Drosophila melanogaster: one gene and its partner. The protein of the gene in region 1 interacts with the protein of each later gene in a pairwise test. Each region holds a gene or a part of one and is shown on either strand. Other genes may lie near its edges.

Region 1 (3,559 bases):
GGCATGGGTTGCTCCTCAGCTGCGACAGCTGGTTTAATTTAAATTTTTGTTTTTTTTTTTCTTTGCCGAACTACTGAGCGCAAATAAATGAAAAAAAAATACTTGAAACGTAAACGTTTTGTCATCAATTATTTTCGACCGGAAGGGGCTACCTGAGTGGCAATGAAGCACACAGATTAAGCACATATTTATGAATATATAAATATATACGAATGCATGAGAGAACAAAAAATTATATCTAGTTTTCTTCAAAAATAAATAATAAAGGGGAAAATGGTATAAAGTATGAACATAAAATTATGAACGAGTATAAATAAGTTTGTAATTGAAATCTCTACGGTCATACAAGTATTTTAACTATTCTATAAATATGCATAAACATGGTACGCATTTTATGAGATACAATTCGAAAGATATTGGATAGCATTATCATGCATGAAATTATTTCACACTCTTGTGATGGTAGCTATCTTATTCCAGTTATCGTTTAATTGCAAAGAATGGGATCAAAAGGTCATCTTTATCAACATATTGTTGATTCCGGAATGAATAATAAATAATAACATAACTATGAATTAATGGAGCAACTATAATTTTACGGCCTCTTTTCTTTTAAACAAAGAATATAGCACTTTTAATGCATTAAATACGTATTTAAACCTTTTCTTTTGAAACGCCAAATTCATATTAGAGTTTCATAAGATTGTTTTAAAACATAACAACATAATAATTGAAGAATTGGAAATCTTTTTAGGTGTTTGTAAGCCTTTGAATTCCTAATTGGAATAGCTAAAGATCCATATTTCATCTTCAAATCTCTTTGCAACTAGAGATTTATTTTATCTGGCAATTATTAAGTATACATTTTTATATGGTACTTTAAACTGATGGTTTAATCAGTTACATGGATTTTCTAAATTAAAAATGGTCATGTGAAGATAGCCACTCTTCTAACAATCTAATCACATTTATAGTAAGAAATACAATACAATACAATACAATACAATACAATACAATACAATACAATAGAAAGACAATCGAATCTGCGCAATCCGTGTGAAATTCAAGGACTACAGCTGGGTGGCTAATCATTTCCCCCTATCCACTTACACCTCGGATTACCTCTTATTCCGACTCCCGGAGTCTTGTGTCTGCCAATGCGGAACTATTTTCGCTATCTGAACAGACGTTCGGACCTCGATATGCGGCAAAGATTCACAGCCCGGCTGTTGATTCCGATTCGGTGGCAATGTGTTCGTTGTTATTGTAAAACGGGCAATGGCAACTGGGCAGTGGGCAGTGGGGTTTTCGGGTTGTGGCTTCTACGTAAGTGGAAGAGACGCCGTGATATGCGCTGGCAGCGATGCGTGCGATCTATCAACATTTGGCCATGTTTCGTTCGCATCGCGTGGGCCCGGAGCGGAACAGCCGGCACCGGAGTTGGCATCAATCCAAATGTCACGTACCCGGAGCCGGAGACGCGTCCGGAGCATATTTAAAGTAGTCGGCCACCAATGGAGGGCAGCAGAAGACAGCAGACAGTCCAAGCGGGAGCACACCAGAAGCCGAAGAGCAACTGGAACTGCAACTGGGAGACAAGATGACGAGATCGACCTACATTTGGGCGCTGGCCGCCTGCCTGATCGTAAGTGTTCAAGCTCGAAATCTTAGGATTAATCCCAAGAAAACCAAGTCTATCAATTCTGACTGCTTTCGTTTGTGCCATGTAAATCGTACATGAAAAGCAAATTGACTTTCCTTTAAATTACTTGAAACGGAATCAAGCTATCTATCGATGCTAGACTTATTTTAAGTATATGTATATGTCGATCCAATTCTAATCCACCCCCCCCCCCTCAATTTACTTTTAGGCCTGTGCAAGCGCCAACTACGGCAGTTCCCAGGGCTATGGACCCGAGTCCGGAAGCGGTGCCTCCGATGGCGGTGCTGATGCCGCTTCAGCGGCCGCAGCAGCTGCCGGCGGTGCCGGTGGAGCTGGTGGCGAGTACGGTGGTGCTAACGCCGGTGCTGGTGCTCTCGAATCCGGAGCCGATGCCGCCGGTGTGGCACAGGCTGGCCAGAGCAGCTACGGATCCGACCAGAACATTCCGTACAAGCCGGTGAACACCAAGGGTAACACCCTGACCTCATCGATCACCTACCCGCAGAACAAGGGCGAGATCCTCATCCATCGTCCCGCTCCCATCATTGTCAAGCGTCCGCCCACCAAGGTGCTGGTGAACCATCCACCATTGGTGGTTAAGCCCGCTCCCGTGGTGCTCCACAAGCCCCCAGCAATCGTTCTCCGCAAGGTCTACGTCAAGCACCACCCACGTCGCGTCAAGGTTGAGCCCGTGTTCGTCAATGTGGTCAAGCCCCCAGCAGAGAAGTACTTTGTCAACGAGAACAAGCAGGGCTACGGACAGGGCTCGCAGTCCCACGGACACGGCCATGGACACGGTGGCCATGGACACGGACACAGCGGACACGGACACGGTGGACACGGTGCTGGACCCCATGGTCCTGGACCCCATGACGGTGGCCGTGCTCTGCCCGCCTACGCTTCGGGAGCTGATTCCGCTGCCGCCAGCGCTGGCTATCAGCTGCTCCAGAGCGGCAACCAGGGTCTGTCCGCTCTTGCCAACATCGCCGGCGAGCGTGAGGGTCCCTATGGTCCCGCTCCAAGCCATCAGCACTATAGCGCCGGTCCAGCCGGACATGGCGGCTATGCTGCTCCCGCCTATTAGGTAACAGATGCGGAGGAGTTACGGATTGGATGACTGCTGCGGCTCCGGAATCAACTGAAGCGGCTGGTTTAGTCATTCGCTTATCCGGCTGATTAGTTACTATGTTTTTTTTACAAAAAAAAAAAAAAAAAACAGCCTGATCGACCAACGCCCATGCCTACGCCCACGCCCACTCATGCACACCCCAATACCACCCACTCACCCATTCAACGGCCCAGGAGGGGCGTGGCACTCAGGTTTCTTTGCAAAACAAATAAAAAATTTGAACAAAAAAAAAAAAACAATTATACCCAAGCTGAATGTTGTTTTCGATGAAGGGTGAAATCTAGATGCTAGTTATATTTAAATTAAACTATCATTAGATATATACTCTAATTGATAGTTATTGATAGTCTTGCGACTCATTTTAAACTTGATACACTTATAGCATAGACAGTGAGTAATATCATTGATATTATTATATAATTATTGTTACACAAAGTGCATATGATGAGAATCGATTTAATGATGGGAGAACTGACTTACCCGCAACTTTATTCGCAGCAACAAGTGTCGCATATAATAAATACAATAAATCCGAAACGCAGGCTGTCATTACACACATCGTTTGGTTGTCCTTCCCCATTGTTGTGCGTTATGCCAATGGCATCCCACGCAATTGTTCAATAACAAACGGGCGGCAAAATCGGCTATAATGATAGGTAAGGCAAAGAAGAGCTCGGCTGATGACAGGTGGAATCGCAATTTAGGTCGCCCAGTGCCGCCCATTTGGCAGTTTGAAAATTCAGCATAAAAATGCGATACCTTTGCAC
Region 2 (4,180 bases), on another chromosome or scaffold:
TACAATCGTTAAATGACTACTTCAGAGCATACAGTAGGCCTAAGTGTATCATATCAGATAGAGGAGCATGTTTCACGTCTGGCGATTTTGACTCATTTTTGAAAGAATGCAATGTTAAACACATAAAAATTGCAACAGGATCGCCACAAGCCAACGGTCAAGTTGAACGTATAAACCGAAGTCTTGGTCCAATGATTAGCAAGTTAATTGAACCTGATCAAGGTCTACACTGGGACTTAGTCTTAGAAAAGGTCGAATATACCCTGAACAATACACTACACCGCAGCATTAAACAGTATCCTAGCATAATGTTATTTGGGTTACAACAAAAAGGACAAATTATGGATGAGTTAAAAGAAAAAATTGAGGAAATTGGAGAAACGATTGAAGAAAGAGATTTAGAAAGTATTAGAAATAAAGGCGAGGCAAGTCAGAAAATAGCACAAGCATACAATAAAGAATATGTTGACAAAAAACGAAAACGATCAGGAGTGTTCACAAAAGGCGACTACGTCATGGTTAAAAATTTTGACTCAACAACAGGCATAGCTAAGAAGTTAATTCCAAAGCATAAAGGACCCTATGTCATAAGCAAAGTTCTCAAAAATGATCGCTTCCTTCTGGAAGATGTTGATGGATTTCAAATTTCTCGCAATCCTTACCGGGGTGTATGGAGCATACAGAATATAAAACACTGGCAAAGAAAAATTAAGAGTCTACAAAATAGAAAGTATAATTTGAGAAACTCTGTACAAAATAGAAAGTATAATTTGAGAAACTCTGTACAAAATAGAAAGTATAATTTAAGAAACTCTGTACGAAATCGAAAGTATAATTTAAGAAGCAATTGTAAAACAAAGAAAACAAACAAGAAGAAAAGAAAACCAAAAAAATGTTTAAGACCGTTCAAAAGTATCTCCACTAAGAAGAATAAAATAAGAAACAGGACCCTTAGCTTTAAGAAACGTTAATTGTTATAAAATCCTACGATCGGGAGATCTAGTAGTCAGGACGGCCGAGTTGTAGTAGGCTGCTCCTTCTACCCTCTTCCTTTACTCTTAGTCATACATACCTAATTATACATAGCCAATCTAGTCATAAGCTTATACACTCATACACCCATCCTTAACATACAAATATTATCGAGAAACTTATCGACTAATCGACTCGCCACTCTGCAGAGAGCGCGGCAGTCAGTCGCTGTTGAACCAAGCTAAAGGACAGATCAAAAATAAAAGAGACACGTGAAATTGTATTAGAATATTAACTTCTGTAAACGGCGGCTAAAGTATAGTATAGTATATTCTAGTATGGTATCGTATAATATAGCATAGTTATAGGTAACAAAATGATACAAAAAAATAATAATAATATTCAAAGAGACATGACGAAGAGCTCAGTTGACGCAGAAATCGTTCAGCAATTCATTTATTGGTCCGAACTCCGAATTAAGATATTCGATGAGATTGGGAGTTCGGTCTGTAGATGACTATTCCAGCGTTTCTCAGATGTTCGAGAACCGTCAATGGCGCTGAGATCTTGGAGATCTTGGCGTGACATATGCAATTCCCTTATCAATCCGATGCGATACCACCGCCACCACAGGAGTCTGTTCTTCTGCGAAATAGGCAATTCCGATGTTATTGCCGTGTAATTTACATGCGGCCCCGCTATCGTACATCAGTAAATCAAAAATCGAAGAACGAAAAATCAGCGCTATCTTGGAGTTCTGATTGAGATAGCGTGTGCATTTTGGAAATTGTTTTTCGCCGAACAAAACCGAGCAGAATGGCCTTTGCATATTTAAGAGCTCCAGCCTCCGAAGGTGCAGTATCATTTGAGTTGTGAGTGCCGCCAAGATCGCAGCGGGGCGTTCGAGAAACCAGGATACAAGTTAACCAAAGGATATAAAACATGAATAGAGGTAAACTAAAGTGGGACGCCAGCTGAACATTGACAGTGATGGATTTCGTTTGAAAGAATTGCTCTTTAAAAATGTACATATAAATTAAATTCAAACATTAAGTTTTTAAGTTGATAGGGCTTTCTGGCAGAAGGGTAATTTTCGTACCAGCTATCGTAGTTTAAATTTAAAAATTGACTCACATGTTTGGGGTTAATAAATGGTAAAGCACACTGGATATGCCATCCTGTTCCTGACACAATGTTCCCACGATTTTCGATTTTACTTGCAGCTAGCGGTGTCCTGTCGCTGCTGTTTGTGGCCAGCGCCCTGGGCGGCGTGATCGAGGACTTTGAATACCTATCGGTGGCCGAGATGTGCGACCTGCTGCCGCAGGAGACAAGCTTCCTGCGACCGAATACCTGCGACAACTGGGTGCGGTGCGCCAGCAACTACAGCGTGCTGGAGCAGGGCGGCTGTGCCGCAGGACTCAACTACAACAAGGAGCTAGGCCGCTGCATCCTGGCATCCTCCAGCGCCGCGGTGTGTCCCTATGCCGACAGCATTGCGGACAAGGCCACGAACCTGTGCGCCAACGAAACGGAAGGCGCCTTCATCGTGGATCCCAGCAGCAGCGATTGTCGCGGCTACATCTTGTGCAAGTCGCACAAGCAGATCAAGGCCAACTGTCCCAACGAGCTGATCTTCCATCCCGTATCGAGGTCTTGCGTGTACGAAAAGCAGTACCGTTGCCCCATCAGCCAGACGAAGAAGACCAGTCCCGCCTGCCGATCCCTGCCGAACAACACCCGTCTGGCCGATCCCGTCCACTGTGACCAGTACTACGAGTGCGTCAGCGAGGTCTTGCACAGCCGAGCCTGTCCAGTGGCCAGTGCCTACGATGCTAATCTCGGCTACTGCGTGGATGTGGCTGAGGTGTCCTGCTACGAGAGTGCCGCCCTGCCGGAACCGGAAAACACCTTCTGCCTGGACAGTGCCACCGGATCCGCTCGCGTTGGCTACTTTGCCGACGACGAGTCCTGCTCCCACTACTATATCTGTGGCAGCCCCGTCGCCGGCAAGCACGACACGGAGCCCAAGCACCTGAGCTGTCCACTTGGCCAGTACTTCGACTTCGAGAAGCTCTCGTGCCGCGACAGACTTAACGTACGCTGCCAGCTGGACAGGTGTGTGGGCACCAACATCACCTACGTAAACGTCGCCGGCGATTGCCAGAGCTATGGACGTTGCTCCGGCGGAGTGACCGTCAGCCTGGGCCAGTGCCCAACGGGCTACTACTTCGACGAGCGCAACCAGGGATGCACACAGACCAACTACCACAACATCGCATGTTCCGTGTAGGCTGTCCCAGAAGATCGCATCCTTACCACAATCCTTACCAAATCGCATCCAATTTAAATATCCAATAAATCGATCCAATTCATGGTGGAGGTCAAATGCATTGCTTGAAAGGAATTCATGTACTTTGTGGTGGGAAGTGTTAAGTTTTATGACATTCATCCATTTACTTTTTACCATGGAAATGGGTCTACAAATATTAGCTTCTCGAAAAATGTCCAATAAATGTGTTACTCCATTGAAACCTGAAATGTATATATATATAGTTTATCCATTGCATTTGGCTCTATTGTAGTTTTATTCCCTTTCCATTCGAATTTTACCGTCTGCTTCCTCTTTATAGAAGATGTTACCCTAACCTTGAACAATAAAATATGAATTGGTATAAATAATGCTAGAGAAATACTATGATTTTTTGGACTGATTTTTGAACTACATTGGCGGAAATGTTCATTAGCGAAACGAAGTTGGCGTGATAAAATTCTTCTGGCAACCCTTTTGATATCAAAACTGCGCCACACAACGATTCATATTTGGCAATCTGTTTTCGTGACACTTGCAGTGCCCAAAAAATTATCAGTTTTAATTAAAATTGTACCCCAGTGGAGGGTTCGGAGAATTTCAAACCGATTCCAGATAGTCCAGATAATGAATTCGCTACTCGGAGCTGCCGCGATCGCTTATTTCCGTGTTGGCCATCAGGCGAGCAAGAAGTATCCAACGCCCAAGGGTCGTTTTTGTCTATCACTAATTAAATTCAACTATTAGGGTCGATGTTACCCATTAGGTCCACAAATATTGTATGAGTGTGAAATGCAAATGAAATGCATCGACGCGCTTTCGTTCTCCATAGAAATCAATTATGTCCACTTTAAGAAGGAAGTTATACAAGTCCACAGGGCGGATGATTGATTTGTA

What was found. Proteins that work in one complex are often made in the same cells at the same time.
Region 2: the proteins of Cp38 (region 1) and CG7017 interact in a two-hybrid assay, tested with the Drosophila melanogaster proteins (one large-scale study listed by BioGRID).

What each region holds. Positions count from the first base shown.
Region 1 is NC_004354.4:8,480,314-8,483,872, forward strand, and holds Cp38 (chorion protein 38), read left to right. Parts: upstream 1-1,523; 5' UTR 1,524-1,600; coding exon 1,601-1,645; intron 1,646-1,871; coding exon 1,872-2,747; 3' UTR 2,748-2,998; downstream 2,999-3,559.
Region 2 is NT_037436.4:20,209,768-20,213,947, reverse strand, and holds CG7017 (uncharacterized protein), read left to right. Parts: upstream 1-1,825; 5' UTR 1,826-1,914; coding exon 1,915-1,924; intron 1,925-2,195; coding exon 2,196-3,265; 3' UTR 3,266-3,656; downstream 3,657-4,180.